Linked DNA regions of Macaca mulatta. The protein of the gene in region 1 binds, or shares a complex with, the protein of each later gene. Links are inferred from orthologs where the notes say so. Each region holds a gene or a part of one and is shown in the gene's direction. Other genes may lie near its edges. The genes, in order: CCKBR, GNAI2, GAST and GNAQ.

Region 1 (4,319 bases):
ATAAGCTTGTCATGAGGGGTGGAAATTGTGAGGAGGGTTGGTGAAAGAGTATTCCGGTCTGAGAAACTAGCTTGAGCAGGAAGAGAGTCACAAGTGCAAATGATGCATTCAAGAAACTGTGTCATCCAGTGGCTTGCTTAAATGGCTGCAGTGCAGGGAGGGGGTAGGGGAGAAAGAGATCCCTTCTGGGAAGATCTTGATGACATTCTGAGGGGTTGCAGACAGTAGAGAATAAGCGAAGGATTTTTTTTGCTTTTGCCTTTAGAGAATAAAGACATGATCTGATGTGATTTAAAAGGCAGTGGGTTATCAACAGTGTAAAATACTCTAGAGAGGTCAAATAGAATAGGCTAAGAAAGGACCTTTGAATTTAGCAGTTAAAGATTAGTGTACTTGGGAAGAAGTATGCAGCGATAGGGTACAGAATATTGTATTGTAATAGATTGAAGAGCAAATGAGAAGACACAAATATCCTCTTAAGAAGTTTGGCTGCAAAGAGAAAGATTTGGAACGAACGTTGAGAAGAGGCAGGCTTTCTTAAGGAAGGGCAGAGTTGGGCCAATTTAACCAAACCTCAAGGGGTTAGAAGGCTAAAGGATTCAAGTTCACCATTTACTGAGCAGTTCCTGGGTGGCGAATGTAGGCATCTGGCTGGGTAATGAGGGTTGGGGATAAGAGGGAAGGAGGGGGGTTTGGCTGAATGAGGGCTGACCACCTACTGCCACCTCTCCCTTTTCTTACCCAGAATTGGAGCTGGCCATTAGAATCACTCTTTACGCAGTGATCTTCCTGATGAGCGTTGGAGGAAACGTGCTCATCATCGTGGTCCTGGGACTGAGCCGCCGCCTGAGGACCGTCACCAATGCCTTCCTACTCTCACTGGCAGTCAGCGACCTCCTGCTGGCTGTGGCTTGCATGCCCTTCACCCTCCTGCCCAATCTCATGGGCACATTCATCTTTGGCACAGTTATCTGCAAGGCGGTTTCCTACTTCATGGGTGGGTGAGACAACCACGCACCCCCATTTGCCATTCTCCCCTCCTAAAGCTCTTGTGGATGTAGGGGTCCTCCCCAGTTGGCAGGGAGGGGTGTGAGGAAGTCCCACTGATGGTTGTGCAGCGCAAGTTTCCTAGGTGACTCCCTCCTGTCTCTTCCCTTGCTTAGGTGTGTCTGTGAGCGTGTCCACGCTAAGCCTCGTGGCCATAGCACTGGAGCGGTACAGCGCCATCTGCCGACCACTGCAGGCACGAGTATGGCAGACGCGCTCCCACGCGGCTCGCGTGATCGTAGCCACGTGGCTGCTGTCCGGACTACTCATGGTGCCCTACCCCGTGTACACCGTCGTGCAACCAGTGGGCCCTCGTGTGCTACAGTGCGTGCATCGCTGGCCCAGTGCACGGGTCCGCCAGACCTGGTGAGCTTACCCACAAATTATCCTAGGAATTCCTTTGTCACCCCTATTAGATGATTACGACCATTGCCCAGAATCTTCCTCCAGCTGCCCGGAGAATTACCACGCCAATTCCTATTCCGCATCCACCACCCTGGAGTTCCAGTTTGGGTCTCTTCTGCAGTTCTCTCTCCCTTCCCAGTGGCACCCCCAAATCCTACTCCTATTTCAGGTACCTGGCCACAGCCCTAGAAACACCAGTCCTTGGCTTTTTCTCCATCTGTGATTATAGCTGGACAGAAACCCGAGTGATCTGTCTGTCTTGCCTTCAGGTCCGTACTGCTGCTCCTGCTCTTGTTCTTCATCCCGGGTGTGGTTATGGCCGTGGCCTATGGGCTTATCTCTCGCGAGCTCTACTTAGGGCTTCGCTTTGACGGTGACAGTGACAGCGGGAGCCAAAGCAGAGTCCGAAGCCAAGGCAGGCTGCCAGGTGGGGCTGGACCAGGTGAGCAAAATCTGGAAGAGGCGGAGCTTTGGAGGGCGACAGGGCCTGCTGGAGTGGGTGGGGCTAAAATGGAGGTGAGAAAAAAGCTGGAAATGGGGTTACGGCTGGGAGCGGAGGTCAGGTGGGGACTGGGCTGGAAACTGGGAGGACTCTTGCCTTTTTCTCTGACCGCCCACCCTCTGTGCTCAGGTGCTATTCACCAGAACGGGCGTTGCCGGTCTGAGACTGGCGCGGTTGGCGAAGACAGTGATGGCTGCTATGTGCAACTTCCGCGTTCCCGGCCTGCACTGGAGCTGTCGGCGCTGACGGCTCCTGGGCCCGGCTCCCGGCCCACCCAGGCCAAGCTGCTGGCTAAGAAGCGCGTGGTGCGAATGTTGCTGGTGATCGTTGTGCTTTTTTTTCTGTGTTGGTTGCCAGTTTATAGTGCCAACACGTGGCGCGCCTTTGATGGCCTGGGTGCACACAGAGCACTCTCAGGTGCTCCTATCTCCTTCATTCACTTGCTGAGCTATGCCTCGGCCTGTGTCAACCCCCTGGTCTACTGCTTCATGCACCGTCGTTTTCGCCAGGCCTGCCTGGAAACGTGCGCTCGCTGCTGCCCCCGGCCTCCACGAGCTCGCCCCAGGCCTCTTCCCGATGAGGACCCTCCCACTCCATCCATTGCTTCGCTGTCCAGGCTTAGCTACACTACCATCAGCACACTGGGCCCTGGATGAGGAGTAGAGGGGCCGTGGGGGCTGAGGCAGGGCAAATGACAAGTACTGACCCTTCCAGACACACAAAACACAAACCACAACTGACGCAGGAGACCGGCACCCAAAGCATGGACTAACCCCAAAGCACAGGAAAAGGTAGGTTATGTGACACAAAAGGAACAAGAATGGAGCAGTACACAGGAAAGGAGGCATGCCTCTGATACAGGACTGAGCCTGGCCCATAGAAACATGACACTGACAGACACAGCGTCCCTAGCAGTGAACTATTTCTACACAGTGGGAACTCCGACAAGTGCTGACCTGCCTCTCACACACAGATTAATGGCACTGATTGTTTTAGAGACTATGGAGCCTGGCACAGGACTGACTCTGGGATGCTCCTAGTTTGAGATCACAATGCCCTTTCCCAATCAGTACTGAAAATACCATCAGGCCTAATCTCATACCTCTGACCAACAGACCATTCTGCACTGAAAACGTTCTTCATTCCTTTCCAGTTAAGGACCGTGGCCCTGCCCTCTCCTTCCTTACCCAAACTGTTCAAGAGATAATAAATTATTTGGCTTCCTCCTGAACTTCCTTTCTGGATTCTTTTGGTGCAGGTGAGGAGGCAAGGATTTTGCAGTATCCTTCTGTCAGTTCTCTCCCACTGTTGCACACCACTGTGCACAACCCCTTGCCAGAAAGCCCAGCCTCTGAGGCTCAATGTGACTGTGCATATTCTTTCTGGATTTTCAACCTCTACCTACATTCCAGTGTTGCAGTAACTGTGAATGGGGATGGAAAATGGCATATCCATGACGTATCATGATTCCTGATCACATTATCCCAAAGTGGTGCCACTGTTAAGATACTATATTAATGGATACTTGTTAAATTTTGATGAAAAGATAAAAGAAGAAGCACTGTATAGTAAGACTAAGTTTATTCAGTGTGTGTGTGAAACACCAGAGATCAGACCATGACAAGTATACAGAAGTTAATTAAAGAGTAGGGATTTTTTACTGTACTCTTTTCTCCAGTGTCAAAATCTGGCCAAGATTCTGCCAAATGGAAGCACTCTTAGCAGCTACAACAAAAAAGAACTGAATAGGAGTCTGAGAACCTAGTCTCCCTTTTACTACAAGAATGATCTAGCCCGAGACAGGCAAAAACCAGCAATATCACCTCTCCACACACAATGACAAATGAGGAAGAACAGGAACTGAGGACCTCACTAAGGAGACATACATGGATAATCAGAGGCATAGTATATTGGAGGAGGGGTTTTTGATGCTTCATCTTGTAACCGATAGGGGAAACTGAGGCCCAGAGCAGGAAGGTAAGCTGCCCAAGGTCATACAGTAAGTTAGAGCAAGAGAAAATAATGGTGTTGAAGTAGACACTGGGCTGGAGATGGGAAAAAGACCCACCCATGAGGAGCAGAAACAAGTTTTGTGGGACCTAAAGTTTATAAAATTGGGTGCTCTTTTTTTAAGAAAGAAAAAGAACACAAAGTTACAGATACAAGATTACTGAGACCCTGACCAGGGCCTTGAAAGGGGCCTGTGCAAGTGATAAGCCCTCAGTTTTAGGCCTCATTCACTTCACAGCCAATATGCCCTAAAATACACCCACTAACTACCCTGGAGAAGGCTGCATGGAGTAGAGGACAGTGAGAAAGGAGAGTGGTTCTTCTGTTTATCAGTGCTGAGGTTGCTCCCATCCCT
Region 2 (4,279 bases), on another chromosome or scaffold:
GTAGTGCCCAGGGGCTAAAGCAATAGAGGGGATTGCTGCCCCAGCCTGCCCAGGGCCTGCACATTTGTATGTCCACAAGGTTGTGCAACCATCACTGCTATCTAATTCCAGAATATAATCACCACCCTCAAAAAGAAACCTCTTACCCAACTAGCTTTCACTCCCCATCTCCCCACATCCCCTCCCCTCATCCTGGAAAGCAGGCCTGGGACAGTCAGAAGCTCAGTGATTGCAGACACCTGGTGGCATTTGTGAGGAGGGCTCAGGCCCTTCCCCTCAGGGTGGTCTCTGGCGTAGGGGGCTGAAGGTGGGCAGGGGCCTTGGCACGGCCTGCCACCATATCCCAATGCCTGCTGCTGCTTGTTGAGCACTGCGCACATGGCCCAGAGTCTGTCTGGGGAGACAGGGAGTGAACCCAGTGCCAGGTGGACTGTGTGGCTCCGCTGCAGTACCAGGTACTCAGGACAGTTCTAGGAGGGACTGCATGGTGGACAAATGCGCTCCCTGCAGAGGGGACTCTAACCTGTGACTTCAGCCTCCCTGGACCTCAGTTCCTTCATTGGTTAGAGCGGGGTGAGAATGGAACCCACCTCCCAGGATTGCTGTGGAGGTGGCAGTTGGTGGGTGTCATTGATGTAGAACAGCATCCGGCACATGGTGGGCGCTGTTTTCATATAGCTTTGCTGTCAATATTGCCGATGTTATTGTTACTGCTTGTGTTTGTTTGTGTGTTAGCACCTTCATTCTTCTGAGGTAGTTTTGACCAGCCCCGAGGGATACTGGTAAGGTTGGCCTGGGTCCCCAAGTTTGACCTCTGCACAGACTGCACTGGCCACCCAGCTAAGCTGTACAGAGGAACAGACGTGCCACAGTGATCAGAACTGAAACACTGTGAATGGGGCATGGGGCACATATTCCCAGCAAAGAGAACAGCATGAGCAGGGTGCTGGAGGTGGCTACAGGTAGTACCTGGCAGCTGCAGGTCTGACTGGCAGTGATGGAGCAGGAGCAGAGGGGTCTGGGAAGAACAGCAGGGCCCAGCTGGGGGCCATTCGACCTGGAGCTCAAGACAGCCAGCAGCAAGGGAGCAAGGTCAAGGTGAGGCTTTGCCTCCACTCCCTCTGGCCCCTAGCCAGGGAGTTGGGTGGCCCTCCTGGTCCTTCTTCACACAGACTCCCTGGGTAATACAGGCTCCTGGGCTGCACTCCTCAAGATCTGGCTGTTATCTGGGATGGGACCTGGGAGTTTGCTTTTTTTTTTTTTTTTTTTTTTTTTAAGACCAAGTTTCGCTCTTGTTGCCGAGGCTGGAGTGCAATGGCATGATCTCGACTCACTGCAATCTCCACCTCCCAGGTTCAAGCGATTCTTCTGCCTCATCCTCCCGAGCCTCTGGGATTACAGGCACCCGCCACCATGCCCAGCTAGTTTTTGTTATTTTTAGTAGAGATGGGGTTTTGACATGTTGGCCAGGCTGGTTTCGAACTACTGACTTCAGGTGATCCACCTGCCTCGGCCTCCCAAAGTGCTGGGATTACAGGCGTGAGCCACCGCGCCGGTGGAATCTGCTCTTTTAAACACCTCCCCAGGGCATTGTCCTGCAGGGTCTTAGCCACATTTTGAGAATGGCAGGGTGGACCTGGCATCATGGGTTCCCTCCACCCTCTTGCCCTTCTGAGTCCTGGCTACATTATCTTAGATCAATATTTTATTTTTCTGAGCCTCAATGTCCTTGTCTGTAGAATGGGAACAGAAACAATATCTTCTGTGACTAACACGAGAGAATGCAGCAAATCTCAGTACCAGCTAAGGAGAAATATGGGCCAGGGGTGTACCAGGCCAGGGAAAAGCTTGAGTCAGTATGGGCGTGTGTGGGTGTGGGTGTGTGAAATACATCGCAGGTCTCCCAGATTCATGAGTCAGTACGTTTCTGTGTTAAACTGTAGGTCTCCCAGATTCTAGCCTTCTAGCCTCCATCTGCTCAGGGCAGACCTGGGTGCCGTGAGCAGAGGGCGGGGCATTGGGCCACGTCCAGAAAGCTGAAGTGTGACGCTGTGCTCCTGCTTAGGGCCCTGATTGCTAAGGCTCAGAGTGTGGGGAGAAGAAGGGCTGCTACCCTGTTGGATGGAGTATGCAGGGCATCTTCCTGCCAGCTCTGCCCAGGGTACCATATTGGCATGCACCAGCTGCACAGGTTGGTGAGCCTATGTATGTGAGAACAGGTTGACTCCTTCAGGTCTGGCCAAGTCTCCAGCCAAGACCCCTGAACTCAACCAGGACAATGGGGAGCCATGGTGGGCAGCAGAGCTTGTGGGAGGCAAAGGCCTGCAGAGAGTCTGCCATGGGGCACAGGTGCTCTAGGTTACCTTGACCACTGTGGCCCTGCCAGCTGCATTCCTGATAGCTCAACTGCCCACCAGGCCCAGCTGCCTCCATCTCACAGTGCAGCTGGTAGGATGGTTAGTTCTGCCTCCTGGGCTACAGGTGTCTGGGCATTTGTTCTGTGCCTGTGGAGCCCCTCTGGGCCTGCCCCTGACCACCTGTGCCCTCTGTTCCAGGTGCTGGGGAGTCAGGGAAGAGCACCATCGTCAAGCAGATGAAGTAAGTGCTGTATCCCAGAGGCAGTGCCCAAACTCCAGCTTCCCCTCTTCATCCTCTGGGCCTGTACTGCCCCCGACTACAGGCCCAGCCAGTCTTAGCCAGGCCCAGAACCTTCTCAGAGGCAGTCACTTTTCCTCAGGTCCCAGTGGGTCAGGGGCAGTTTTTTCTTCTCTGAAGCAGGTCCCAGCAGCCCCAGGCAGCTGTGGGAACTCCCAGTGCCCTGGGGACACTAACCTTCCTGGTCCCTGGCTATCAGGATCATCCACGAGGATGGCTACTCCGAGGAGGAATGCCGGCAGTACCGGGCGGTTGTTTACAGCAACACCATCCAGTCCATCATGGCCATTGTCAAAGCCATGGGCAACCTGCAGATCGACTTTGCCGACCCCTCCAGAGCGGTATGTGCCCTCCGCCCCACCCTCTCCCACCTCCCAAAAGGTTTCAGGGTGGCTGGGTGTGGTGGCTTATGCCTGTAATCCCAGCACTTTGGGAGGCTGAGGCAGGTGGATCACCTGAGGTCAGGAGTTCAAGACCAGCCTGGCCAACATGGTGAAACCCCATCTCTGCCGAAAATACAAAAATTAGCCGAGCATGGTGGCACGTGCCTGTAGTCCCAGCTACTTGGGAGGCTGAAGCAGGAGAATCGCTTGAACCCAGAAAGTGGAGGATGCAGTGAGCCAAGACCGCCCCACTGCATTCTAGACTTGGTGACAGAGCTAGACTCCATTGCAGAAAAAAGAAAAAAAAAAGGTTTTAGGGCAAGTCTCATCCTAGGGAATCCAAGAATACCCTAGCCTGGGCCCCATTCCAGAGGTTTCCCTGCCTCTGGCAGGGTGGGGGTATATTCCTTCAACTGCCTGACCACCCGCCGCTGTGCCCAGGACGACGCCAGGCAGCTATTTGCACTGTCCTGCACCGCTGAGGAGCAAGGCGTGCTCCCCGATGACCTGTCCGGCGTCATCCGGAGGCTCTGGGCTGACCATGGTGTGCAGGCCTGCTTTGGCCGCTCAAGGGAATACCAGCTCAACGACTCAGCCGCCTAGTGAGTGCTCTGAGGGGCTGGGCTGGGCAGGGCAGGGGCTGGGGGAGGACTAAAGGCTGGACTGGAGGGCCTGAGAACCCCCAGAAGGACACTGCTGGTCTTTGCTCATGAAACCGAAGACCGTTAACCAAGGCCTTGGTGTTTTTTGGTTTGGGGGGTAGGTGGGTGACACGTTATTGAACGACCAGGAGGAATGACAGGCAGGTGGCTTATACAGTACATCTCTTCCAGTTGAGTCTGATCTGTCTTGACATACAGTCTTCTAAAGAACATTTGCAGCCGGGCGCGGTGGCTCACACCTGTAATCCCAGCACTTTGGGAGGCCGAGGTGGGCGGATCATGAGGTCAGGAGATCGAGACCATCCTGGCTAACATGGTGAAACCCCGTCTCTACTAAAAGTACAAAAAATTAGCTGGGCGTGGTTGCAGGCGCCTGTAGTTCCAGCTACTTGGGAGGCTGAGGCAGGAGAATGGCGTGAACCCAGGAGGCGGAGCTTGCAGTGAGTGGAGATCATGCCACTGCGCTCCAATCTAGGCAACAGAGTGAGATTCCATCTCAAAAAAACAAAAAGAAGGCCGGGCGTGGTGGCTCATGCCTGTAATCCCAGCACTTTGGGAGGCCAAGGCGGGTGGATCACG
Region 3 (4,802 bases), on another chromosome or scaffold:
CAGCAACACGAATGTCTTCATTCATTCCCCTAGTGTATGAACAGAGCTACACCCACCCCACCTGTTCTCCCAAGCCCCCTCAAAGTCCTTCCATCTCTGAGATTCTGTGATTCAATTAATCATCACCAATGCCTGCACTGCTTTTTGTCATTTTCATTAATTCCATCTGCTGAGTCACCGTGTCCTGCTCTGGATCAGAGTGGTTATTCACAACGGTTATTCAGCCGTCGGTTGCCATGGACACCGCACAGCCTGCTTCCTTCATCACCCATTAATTCTCAACAAGGCTGGCTGTGAGCGTGGGTACCACAGCCGTTACCCAAGACCCAAGGGGAATCAAACTCTCCCAGAAAAGGAGGGGGCCTGATGACGCATGAACAGAAGCAAAATCTTTGCTCTCAACGGTGGAAAAATCAAAAACAGCCTACAACTCATTACATCCGGTCAAACCATGTGGAGGCAGCAGTTTATCAAATAAGTCAACAAAGTGCCGTTTTGTTTTCTGGTCCATCTTCGGCAAATGCTTTAGTCTGTTTGCTAACCATTTGAAGGTATACTTTGACACTGAAAAGTTGTTGGCTGGGCATGGTGGCTCACACCTGTAATCCCAGAACTTTGGGAGACCGAGCCGGGCCGATCACGAGGTCAGGAGTTCGAGACCAGGCCGCCCAACATGGTGAAACCCTATCTCTACCAAAAATACAAAAAATTAGCCAGGTGTGGGGGCGTGCACCTGTAATCCCAGCTACTTGGGACGTTGAGGCAGAAGAATTGCTTGAACCTGGAAGGTGGAGGTTGCAGTGAGCTGAGATCACGCCACTGCACTCCAGCCTGGTGACAGAGCTAGACTTTGTCTCAAAAAAAAAAAAAAAAAAAAGGTTGTTTTGCAGATTACTAGCTCCTGAAAGCAAAATGAAGGAGACTTGAGAGGCAGGACCCCCCGGGAATTGGCTCTGCATAGGGGGTTTGCAGGTGGTGGTGCATGGGCAGCTGACCTGGGAGATGTGGGGCAGCTACAAGCCAAACTCACACCAGCACAGAAGGCCTAAGGAGAAGAAGGCACCGAGGGTGTTCCATGGTAGGGGGAGGGTGAAGGGGCTTCAGAGGTGACCAGGATGTGAGCCACCAGAAGGAGAGAACAGGGCCATCAGCCCACAATCCATTGCTCCTGGTAACACATTGTATTTGCAGAGTCCAGTGGAGGGGACGGGGAATCAATACATCACCCCGCATTCACACACTCATCAAACATCAGTGGATGGTGAAATCTACTTTCCCTGAATCTAAGCCCATCGGGTTCACTCCCTCACCTACCACCACCCACAAAAGTCCCTATGTAGTTTGAGAGATGAGTACCAGGCCTCTGACCCCCAGGATAGGTGGGGAGCATTGCTCCTGACCAAGGGAGCTTGGTTCCTGCCCCTTAGGTACAGCTGGAGAGCTGCCACCACCCCGCTCCAGCCCCTCACCATGAAGGTCAACTCCCCTATCCTTCCCCCACATCCTGGATGACTGACTGACACTAAATGACAGGGCGGGGCAGGACGATGGGCTGTACCTGTGCCCCACCCCATTCCTCTCGCCTGGACTCATATGGCAGGGTAGGGGTGGGGGGGCACAGTTGGGAGGGACCTCGAGGGCTTTATAAGGCAGGCCTGGAACACCAGGCAGAACAGAGACCTGAGAGGCACCAGGCCCAACCGCCACACCACACACCTCCCAGCTCTGCAGGTGAGAAAACCCAGGAGGAGAGGGGAGAGGCTGGGAAGTGGGTTGACAGGTCCTCTCCCCCATCAAGGTATCAGGCCACTGGCCAGAGTCTGGGGCTCACCCCTTGGAGTCCCCAGTGCTGGGACCCTTTCTTTATCCCAGGATGGAACTAGGTCTTGGCTCCAGTACCTACCTTTGTATTCCCAGCCTTGCCTTCCACCTGCCCTCTGTCCCAGCCGGGGCTCTGCCCTTAACCTCTCCCTTCACACTCCTCCCCTGGGAGGTGAGGAGGACTGGGGTTCTTCTCCTCTCTCTTAGGTGAGAAAACTGAGGCCCAGAGGCAAGATGTGACTTGCCCAAAGTCACAGGGATTTTTAGGCAGGGCTGGGATGGGAATCCACAGCTCCTGGATCCCACTTCAAGCCCTTTCCTAGACCACTGCCATCCAAAAGAACGTCCTATGATGCGGGAAATGTTCTTTATCTGCACTGTTCAATATGGTAGCCACTAGCCACGTGTGTGCTTGAAATGGGGTTGGTGTAAGGAAGTTTGTTGTTGTTGTTGTTGTTTGTTTTTTATACAGAGTCTTGCTGTGTCACCCAAGCTGGAGTGCAGTGGCGTGATCACAGCTCACTGCAACCTCCGCCTCCCAGGTTCAAGCAATTCTCCTGCCTCAGCCTCCTGAGTAGCTGGGATTACAGGCGCCTGCCATAACACCCGGCTAATTTTTTATATTTTTGGTAGAGACAGAGTTTCACCATGTTGGCCAAGCTGGTCACAAACTCCTGACCTCAAGTGATCCGACCCCCTCGGCCTCTGAAAGTGCTGGGATTACAGGCGTGAGCCACTGCACCTGGCTGTAATTTTTTAATTTAATTAATTTAAATGTAAAGAGCCACACGTGATTGGTGGCTACAACACTGAACAACCAACGTGTGGTTAGCATCTGACAGTACAGCTCCAGATCACTGAGTTTTCAAACGTTTCTTCAGCAGCAGAATTCTTTTCTTCCAAGGAAAACCTAACAGAGAACCTCATTATGAAAAACTTAATAGCCAGGCACCGTGGCTCATGCCTGTGATCACAACACTTTGGGAGGCTGAGGCAAGCAGATTACTTGAGCTCAGGAGTTCCAGACCAGCCTGGGCAACATAGTGAGACCTCATCTCTACTAAAAATAAAAACAAATAAATTAGCTGGGCATAGTAGTGCACACTTGTAGTCCCAGCTACTCAGGAGGCTGAGGTGGGAGGACCTCTTGAGCCCAAAAAGTCGAGGCTGCAGTGAGCCAGGATCACTCCAGCCACTGCATTCCAGCCTGGGAGACAGAGCAAGATTCTGTCTCACAAAAAGAAAAAAAGAAAAACTTAAAAGCAGTACTTTATTAATACAAATGTATTCTGACAAGAGAAAATTTTTATCATTTTCTTATGATAAAGCCAATCAGAATAATGAGACTAAAAGAATACAAAAATCGTGAGTCCAGGGAACAGATGACCATTTGAATTTTACGTTTGTTTGAGATTCCAGTTTAGTTCTGTATTATATCTTTTCCCCAAACTGGATTCACCCTTTCACCCTGATACATAATTGCTAATGGTGACAGCTTAATTTTTTCTTTTTTTTTTTTTTTTTTTTTTTTTTTGAGACGGAGTCTCGCTCTGCCGCCCAGGCTGGAGTGCAGTGGCCGGATCTCTGCTCACTGCAAGCTCCGCCTCCCGGGTTCACGCCATTCTCCTGCCTCAGCCTCCCGAGTAGCTGGGACTACAGGCGCCGCCACCTCGCCCGGCTAGTTTTTTGTATTTTTTAGTAGAGACGGGGTTTCACCATGTTAGCCAGGATGGTCTCGATCTCCCGACCTCGTGATCCGCCCGTCTCGGCCTCCCAAAGTGCTGGGATTACAGGCTTGAGCCACCGCGCCCGGCCTTAATTTTTTCTTAACTGCTTCATTATAATCACAGGATATTCCTCAGTTAAGCAAAAATGACTGGAGAACCTTTCCTCTCAGGGCCGCACAAAAAAACAGTGTGAGCTGGCCAAGCGTTGAATGTGCTGCAGTCTCCAAAGTGATAACATGCGGTCTGTAACACAGTTGGATGTCTATGTTCCTTTGGTATTACTATTTAAAAGTTTCACTTTTTGTTTTTGTTTTTTTGAGACAGGGTCTCACTCTGTCGCCCAGGCTGGAGTACAGTGGTGCAATCTCGGCTCACTGCAACCTCCACCTCCAGGGCTCAAGGGATCCTCCCACCTCAGCCTCCCAAGTAGCTGGGAATACAGGTGCATGCCACCATGCCCGGCTAATTTTTGTATTTTTTGTAGAGATGGGATTCGGTATGTTGCCCAGGCTGGTCTCAAACTTGTGGGCTCAAGGGATCTGTCCTCCTCAGCCTCCCAAAGTGCTGGGATTACCATGCCTGGCCTAAAAAGTTCACTTTAAATAACAAGTCTTGGGCCAAGCACAGTGGCTCACGTCTGTAATCGCGGCACTTTGGGAGGCTGAGGTGGGAGGATTGCTTGAGCCCAACAGTTCAAGACTAGCTTGGGCAACATGGTGAAACCCCATTTCTACAAAAAATACAAAAAAATTAGCTGGACGCGGTGGTGCAAGCCTGTAGTCCCAGCTCTTCTGGAGGCTGAGGTGAGAGGATCACCTGAGCCCAGGAGGTATAGTCTGCAGTGAGCAGTGATTGCACTACTGCACTGCAGCCTAGGTGACAGAGTGAGACCCTGTCTCAATAAATAAATAAATTACATGACTTAAACAACTACAGAGCCACTAACATGGCCTCAAATTCTGCAGAACAGAACCTAGGAAAACCATTGCCCTAGGATTTGACTTTCTCCAGGAGAAGCAGTGGCTGTAATAAGGGTAAGTAAAGAGAAAAAACACGAGACTTTGGGGCTGGCGTGGAACCGGCAGAAACTGGAGAATTGAACTGAAGAAATAGTCCACAACTCCACATGGAATTGCAGACTCACCTGGGCGCGGTGGTTCACGCCTGTAATCCCAGCATTTGGGAGGCTGAGGCAAGTGGATCACCTGAGGTCAGAGGTTTGAGACCAGCCTGGCCAACATGGTGAAACCCCGT
Region 4 (4,803 bases), on another chromosome or scaffold:
TAGAAGGGTAAATTCGATTACTCGGCGGTTAAACATTGTGTGCCTTGTCAGAAACAAGAGAACTTGTGAAACAAAAACAATAACAACTTAAAAAAAAACAGAAACAACCAACCACCACCAAAAAAACAAAGGCATGAAAAGTTGGAACCTATCGGGAGGCTGGGAAACTTGGGCAGCTTCCTTTCTCTGCTCAGGATTTAGATTTCTATCTCTCGTTACTTTGCGGACAGCTTCGCCTGTGAATCTCCCCCTGTGCCTCCGGGCACCGGTGCCAATTCCTTCCCTTCCCCAGTTGCCCCCCACAGTATAGAGGATCTTATTTTCTAAGACTGCACCGGGGTCAGAGGTGACACGAGAGTTTCTAACCGAATGGCGTTTTAGAAATAGGAACGGGAAACACAGAAGCGGCTGAGGAGCGTCCCCGCGGAGCACACAGGCACAGCGCGGGAGCCGCGGACGCCAGCGCCGGCGCCGCAGGGAGCGCGTGCGGGGCTCCGCGGGGCCGCCTCCCGCGACTTCAGCAGGGGCCGCGGCCGCGCTCCCGGGCCGGTGGGCTGAGGCAGGCAGAGACCGCCATTTTCCCGCCTCACCACGCCCGGCCGGACGGCAGCCGCAGGTCGGCGGCGGTCCTAGCACGCAGCGGCGACCGCCGGCTCGGGCTGCACGTCGGCGGCCGGGGGCGGCCGTGACCGCGGCGCCAGCGGGCTCTGCCGAGGGTACGGGAGCAGTGGGCGTCCGCAGAGCCCGAGAGAGCCGGCCCAGCCCGGGAGCCGCGCGGGCGAGGCGAGAGCCGCACTGGGAGGCGCGCCGCGGCGGCCGCGAGCCCAGGAAAGCCTTCCAGGAGGGGCCGGGCGGCACCGCCTCCCGGCTCCCCTCCTCCCGCGCCCGTCCCCTCCGCCTCCTCCCCTCCTCCTTTCGCCGCCGCCTCCTCCCTCCCGGATCTGTGCTCCAGTTCAGAGAAAGAAGAAAATGTGTGTGTGTGGCGAGGGGGAGGGCGCGCACTGAGCAGCCGCTCCGCGCCTGGCAATCGGGGCAGGGGGTGGGCGTCTGGCGGGGGCGGGGGCGGAGGCGGAGGCGGAGGAGCGCGCGGTTGCCGGGCGGGCCGGGAACCGGGTCTGCGCGCGAGCCGGGCGGTGGGCGCGGACAGGGCCGAAGGCGCCCGGGAGCCGTGTCAGGCGGCGGCGAGGAGCGGGCGCGCCGGGCGCGGGGAGCCGTCGGCGGCCGCTCGCTGCGGGGACACCCCGGTGGATGAGCTCTCGCCGCCAGGCGCACGGCGTAGGGGAGCCTCACAGGCGGCGGCGGCGGCGGCGGCTCGGGGGGCGAGGCGGGCCGCCCGTTCCTGGGGAAGGAGGCGCGGGCGTCTGAGCGAGGCCGGGCGCGGCGGCCTTCTCTCACGCGCCCCCCGAGCCAGCGCCCGCCTCCCGCGCCCGCCTCGCTTCTCCCGTCGGCCCAGGCCATCCGCTCCCACCGCGCCCCCGGCCCACCTGGTGGCTCCGGCTCCGGCCGCTGCCCCCGCGGCGGTTCCCGGAGCTCGTCCCGGCCGCGCGCCCGGGCGGCGGGGGCTCGGCGGCCACCGCTGCCTCGGGGGAGCGAGGGCGGGAGGGTGTGTGTGCGCGCTGTGAGCAGGGGGTGCCGGCGGGGCTACAGCGGAGGCACTTTGGAAGAATGACTCTGGAGTCCATCATGGCGTGCTGCCTGAGCGAGGAGGCCAAGGAAGCCCGGCGGATCAACGACGAGATCGAGCGGCAGCTCCGCAGGGACAAGCGGGACGCCCGCCGGGAGCTCAAGCTGCTGCTGCTCGGTGAGTACCGCCCGGGGCCCCGCCGGGCCTCTGCGCCCCCAGCCCACCATCCTTGGCCCTGCGGGACAGCTGCCCTCTCGGCGTCCCCCGCCCCCCGGCGCCCCCGGCTAGCCCCTACCCTCCCGGGCGCGCCCCCGGCCACTGCCTTCACCCGCGCGGGCGCGCGGGCGCGTTACACACACACACACACACCCAGATACACACACGCAGGCGCGTTACACACACACACACACACACACACACACCCCCACCCACCCACCCACCCAGATACACACACGCAGCAGAGGGGTCGCGGCTGCCCTGCCGGGTGTCTCGGCTTTTTTCTTTTTGGGTCCCTGAGGGCTGTGCCTTATCTGCTGTGCATCTGCTAAATGGCAGATCACTCCGGCCAGAGGCGCGGGGGTGGAAAGGTGGGCAGAGGGGTTGAACTTCCAGTGTCGTGGCCGCGGCATCCCATGGGGTGGTGGCGCGGGGAGCCGTGTGTGTGGCCCAGCGGGTGGCGAGCGGAGCTGGGGCACGTTGGGAGATGGCCTGCGGTGGGGTGGCCGGTGTGCATCCATTATCAGTGCCCTCTGGGGTCAGGAGGGAATGGGGGAACGGTGGGCAGACTCGCAACTGGATTCCCGGAGCACTGATGATGAGGAAGCCAAGTGGTTGGCCCTCCAAGGAAAGGGCCTGTGTATTGGGGGCGGGGCGGGAGGGCGAGCCCAAATGTGTCACAGAAGTGCTGTTCTCTAGCCACCAGACCATCGAAAGGAGGGAGCCTAGAAGAGTTTCTTGGCTAGTGGATGGTGACAGGCGTGATTCTCGTCTGCACCATTGCTTCTAGATAAAGATGAGGGTAGGGGAGTGTTGTGCTGTGTGGTTGTTGACAGCGACCGGTATCTTTTGTTTAATGAGGCAACCCAGATGTAGGCCTGAATTCACAATAGTTACTGCCGAAAACCAGTGCAGTCTCTCAGTTACTCTCTTGGCAACAAATAGAAACCTTTTGTTTAAAACACATAGCATTTTAATATCTTTGGAATCTGGGCTAGAAGGAAAACGGGAAGCATACAGGAAAAATTTTCCTCTAGTCTTGAAAAAAAATTCTGCTTTAGCTCTAAGTTAGCAAGAAAATGCCATTTCTCAAATAGAAATTTATTGATGATTATCTCAGAGAGGATGTTCAGAATCAAGCGATCAGGATTCACATACAAGCCACAGTGACAGAACCCTGAGCTATTGTGGTGGGAAGAGCAAACAGCTTTGCAGTAACAGGCCTGAAAAATGTCTTGTGTTCTGGATATTTGCATGTATAATAAATGTGTTTCTCAAACATTTCTGTAAGAAAAGAATATTGTACTGTCAGTTGGTGTTTGAGAAGCATGCATTTTCTTTCTTATCTTGAGCATTCCATTTGCTGGCTCAAGGAACCAATTGCCTTTGGGAATGAACTGCTTATGTACTGTATCATTTACAAGCAGGAGCAAAATATACTGATCACACACATAGTTACTAATAGTTAATTCACATGACATGCTTTATGTCTTCATTTTGAAACTCAGATAAATGGGCACATGTTTATAAAGAACTGAAGGCGAAACACTAGATGAAAGAGGTGGGCTTAGGGGAATGAAGCCAGGGAGGAGGCAAACTGCAGTTGGAAAGTAAAGATTTTTTTTTTTTAAATTCTCATTTTGAGCTACTTCTAATGGCTGAAAACAGGCAGTGGAATGTTTTCTGAGTTCTCAAGATTGAGAAGAAAATAAAGAACAAAAGAAATATGTAGAGTGTTTAAGTGCATGATTAAGGGGAAAAGCACGTATTTTAGAGAGACTTGTTTTAAGAATTGTTTGTTTCTTCTGTTGCCCTGTTGACAGTCTTTGTTTCTGTTTAACTGTGAACTGGGCAGTTGAGGTCTCTCCAGCCAACCCTGTTTGCCTGAAAAGTGACAGCTCTGAGTTTCCCAGCAGCTAAGAGTTGAAGCCCAGGGAACCGGTTTGTCAATGGGCCTAGGTTTGAATGTTTAAGGGAAATACACTTACATGGATGCTTAATTCCATACTGTGTGTTTAAATAACACTGTGCTTTTAAAAATGAACTTGGAGATAATTTTCTGAGAAAAAGTGTAAACCAGTTTTACTGCTAAAGTGGTGGTAGTGTGGAGAACTTTTTTTTCCTCTTATTCGCGGAACATCATGCAAGTATTGTTACTGCTTCATGTTCTTGGTATGTTGCCTTTGCAACATAAATACCACAATACACTATATAGTAATGTACGCTAAATGTGGATTTGTGCGTGCATGTGTGTGTATGAGTGTGATTTCAGGAGTTTTTGAATCCAGGATGGTTGATTTCAACAAGGAAGATATTAGGGAAGGATTTCATTTGAGGAATTCCTGATTTGCTGCTTTGATGAGTAGACTGAATGTTCTGGTTCCTTCTATCATTTAAACAAAACCTGTCCAGAGGAGATTATAGAATGTATCCATTCACAGTTTAAAGATCTACTAATATTTTTAACCAGTTTATGGAGGAATAACTGTATTTTGAAATGAAATTCAGTATAAAATTGTTTTCAAAGTAAATTTTAGTTCAAGACTTGATGCCATTTTAATGGAAAAGGATTTGTTTGACAGGGATAAAAGTGGGTACCCTTGCATTTGCTCATACAATTATTTACTTTTGTATATTAATAATATGGAGACATTTAAAAAGGCAAGTAGTAGGTACCTGACTAGATGAAAGTATGGCAGTAAAATTTGGGCTATTTTGATTTATATTCGGCAACTGTGCTAATCTTCCAAATTTATTCCATATGCTTATATATTATATATTTTATTTTAACTTTAGAAACGTGAACCCTGAAATCTACCACTATAAGAATATTACATTAAATTTTGAATTATTTTCTTGTTGTCTTTTAACTTACTCATTCTTTGAATTCATTTATATTAGTGTTTATTTTGACACTCAAAACTTAGTCTCTGCATTCAATGTAGATACACAAGAGCATACTT

Evidence for each region.
Region 2: the proteins of CCKBR (region 1) and GNAI2 are in contact, whole or in part, in a cryo-EM structure (PDB 7F8V), measured with the Homo sapiens proteins. The link is inferred for Macaca mulatta from reciprocal best matches to the Homo sapiens genes CCKBR and GNAI2. Residues at the interface, in NP_795344.1 of Homo sapiens: Thr87, Thr89, Arg152, Ala155, Ile156, Pro159, Leu160, Ala162, Arg163, Val164, Thr167, Ser169, Ile241, Gly248, Leu249, Lys328, Val331, Leu335, His394, Arg396; in NP_002061.1 of Homo sapiens: Glu28, Ala31, Arg32, Glu33, Val34, Lys193, Leu195, Thr220, Phe337, Thr341, Asp342, Ile344, Ile345, Asn348, Leu349, Lys350, Asp351, Cys352, Gly353, Leu354, Phe355.
Region 3: the proteins of CCKBR (region 1) and GAST are in contact, whole or in part, in a cryo-EM structure (PDB 7XOW), measured with the Homo sapiens proteins. The link is inferred for Macaca mulatta from reciprocal best matches to the Homo sapiens genes CCKBR and GAST. Residues at the interface, in NP_795344.1 of Homo sapiens: Cys107, Pro114, Asn115, Gly118, Thr119, Phe120, Met134, Gly135, Val138, Tyr189, Gln204, Cys205, His207, Leu222, Val349, Tyr350, Ala352, Asn353, Arg356, Pro361, Ala363, His364, Leu367, Ser368, Ile372, His376, Tyr380; in NP_000796.1 of Homo sapiens: Glu85, Ala86, Tyr87, Gly88, Trp89, Met90, Asp91, Phe92.
Region 4: the proteins of CCKBR (region 1) and GNAQ are in contact, whole or in part, in a cryo-EM structure (PDB 7F8W), measured with the Homo sapiens proteins. The link is inferred for Macaca mulatta from reciprocal best matches to the Homo sapiens genes CCKBR and GNAQ. Residues at the interface, in NP_795344.1 of Homo sapiens: Thr87, Val88, Thr89, Asn90, Glu151, Arg152, Ala155, Ile156, Pro159, Leu160, Ala162, Arg163, Val164, Trp165, Gln166, Thr167, Ile241, Leu245, Gly248, Leu249, Val331, Leu335, His394, Arg396, Phe397; in NP_002063.2 of Homo sapiens: Arg30, Arg34, Asp35, Arg37, Arg38, Leu40, Ser198, Val199, Phe341, Lys345, Asp346, Ile348, Leu349, Gln350, Asn352, Leu353, Lys354, Glu355, Tyr356, Asn357, Leu358, Val359.

What each region holds. Positions count from the first base shown.
Region 1 is NC_133419.1:59,517,550-59,521,868, reverse strand, and holds the end of CCKBR (gastrin/cholecystokinin type B receptor), read left to right. Parts: intron 1-745; coding exon 746-997; intron 998-1,163; coding exon 1,164-1,413; intron 1,414-1,721; coding exon 1,722-1,894; intron 1,895-2,083; coding exon 2,084-2,610; 3' UTR 2,611-3,185; downstream 3,186-4,319. UniProt on the Homo sapiens protein: Receptor for gastrin and cholecystokinin. The CCK-B receptors occur throughout the central nervous system where they modulate anxiety, analgesia, arousal, and neuroleptic activity.
Region 2 is NC_133407.1:113,724,566-113,728,844, forward strand, and holds part of GNAI2 (guanine nucleotide-binding protein G(i) subunit alpha-2), read left to right. Parts: intron 1-2,065; exon of another isoform or gene 2,066-2,121; coding exon of another isoform or gene 2,122-2,191; intron 2,192-2,555; coding exon 2,556-2,598; intron 2,599-2,854; coding exon 2,855-2,996; intron 2,997-3,479; coding exon 3,480-3,640; intron 3,641-4,160; exon of another isoform or gene 4,161-4,279. UniProt on the Homo sapiens protein: Guanine nucleotide-binding proteins (G proteins) are involved as modulators or transducers in various transmembrane signaling systems.
Region 3 is NC_133421.1:66,049,143-66,053,944, forward strand, and holds the start of GAST (gastrin), read left to right. Parts: upstream 1-1,614; 5' UTR 1,615-1,731; intron 1,732-4,513; 5' UTR 4,514-4,582; intron 4,583-4,802. UniProt on the Homo sapiens protein: Gastrin stimulates the stomach mucosa to produce and secrete hydrochloric acid and the pancreas to secrete its digestive enzymes. It also stimulates smooth muscle contraction and increases blood circulation and water secretion in the stomach and intestine.
Region 4 is NC_133420.1:109,009,739-109,014,541, reverse strand, and holds the start of GNAQ (guanine nucleotide-binding protein G(q) subunit alpha), read left to right. Parts: upstream 1-1,618; 5' UTR 1,619-1,665; coding exon 1,666-1,801; intron 1,802-4,803.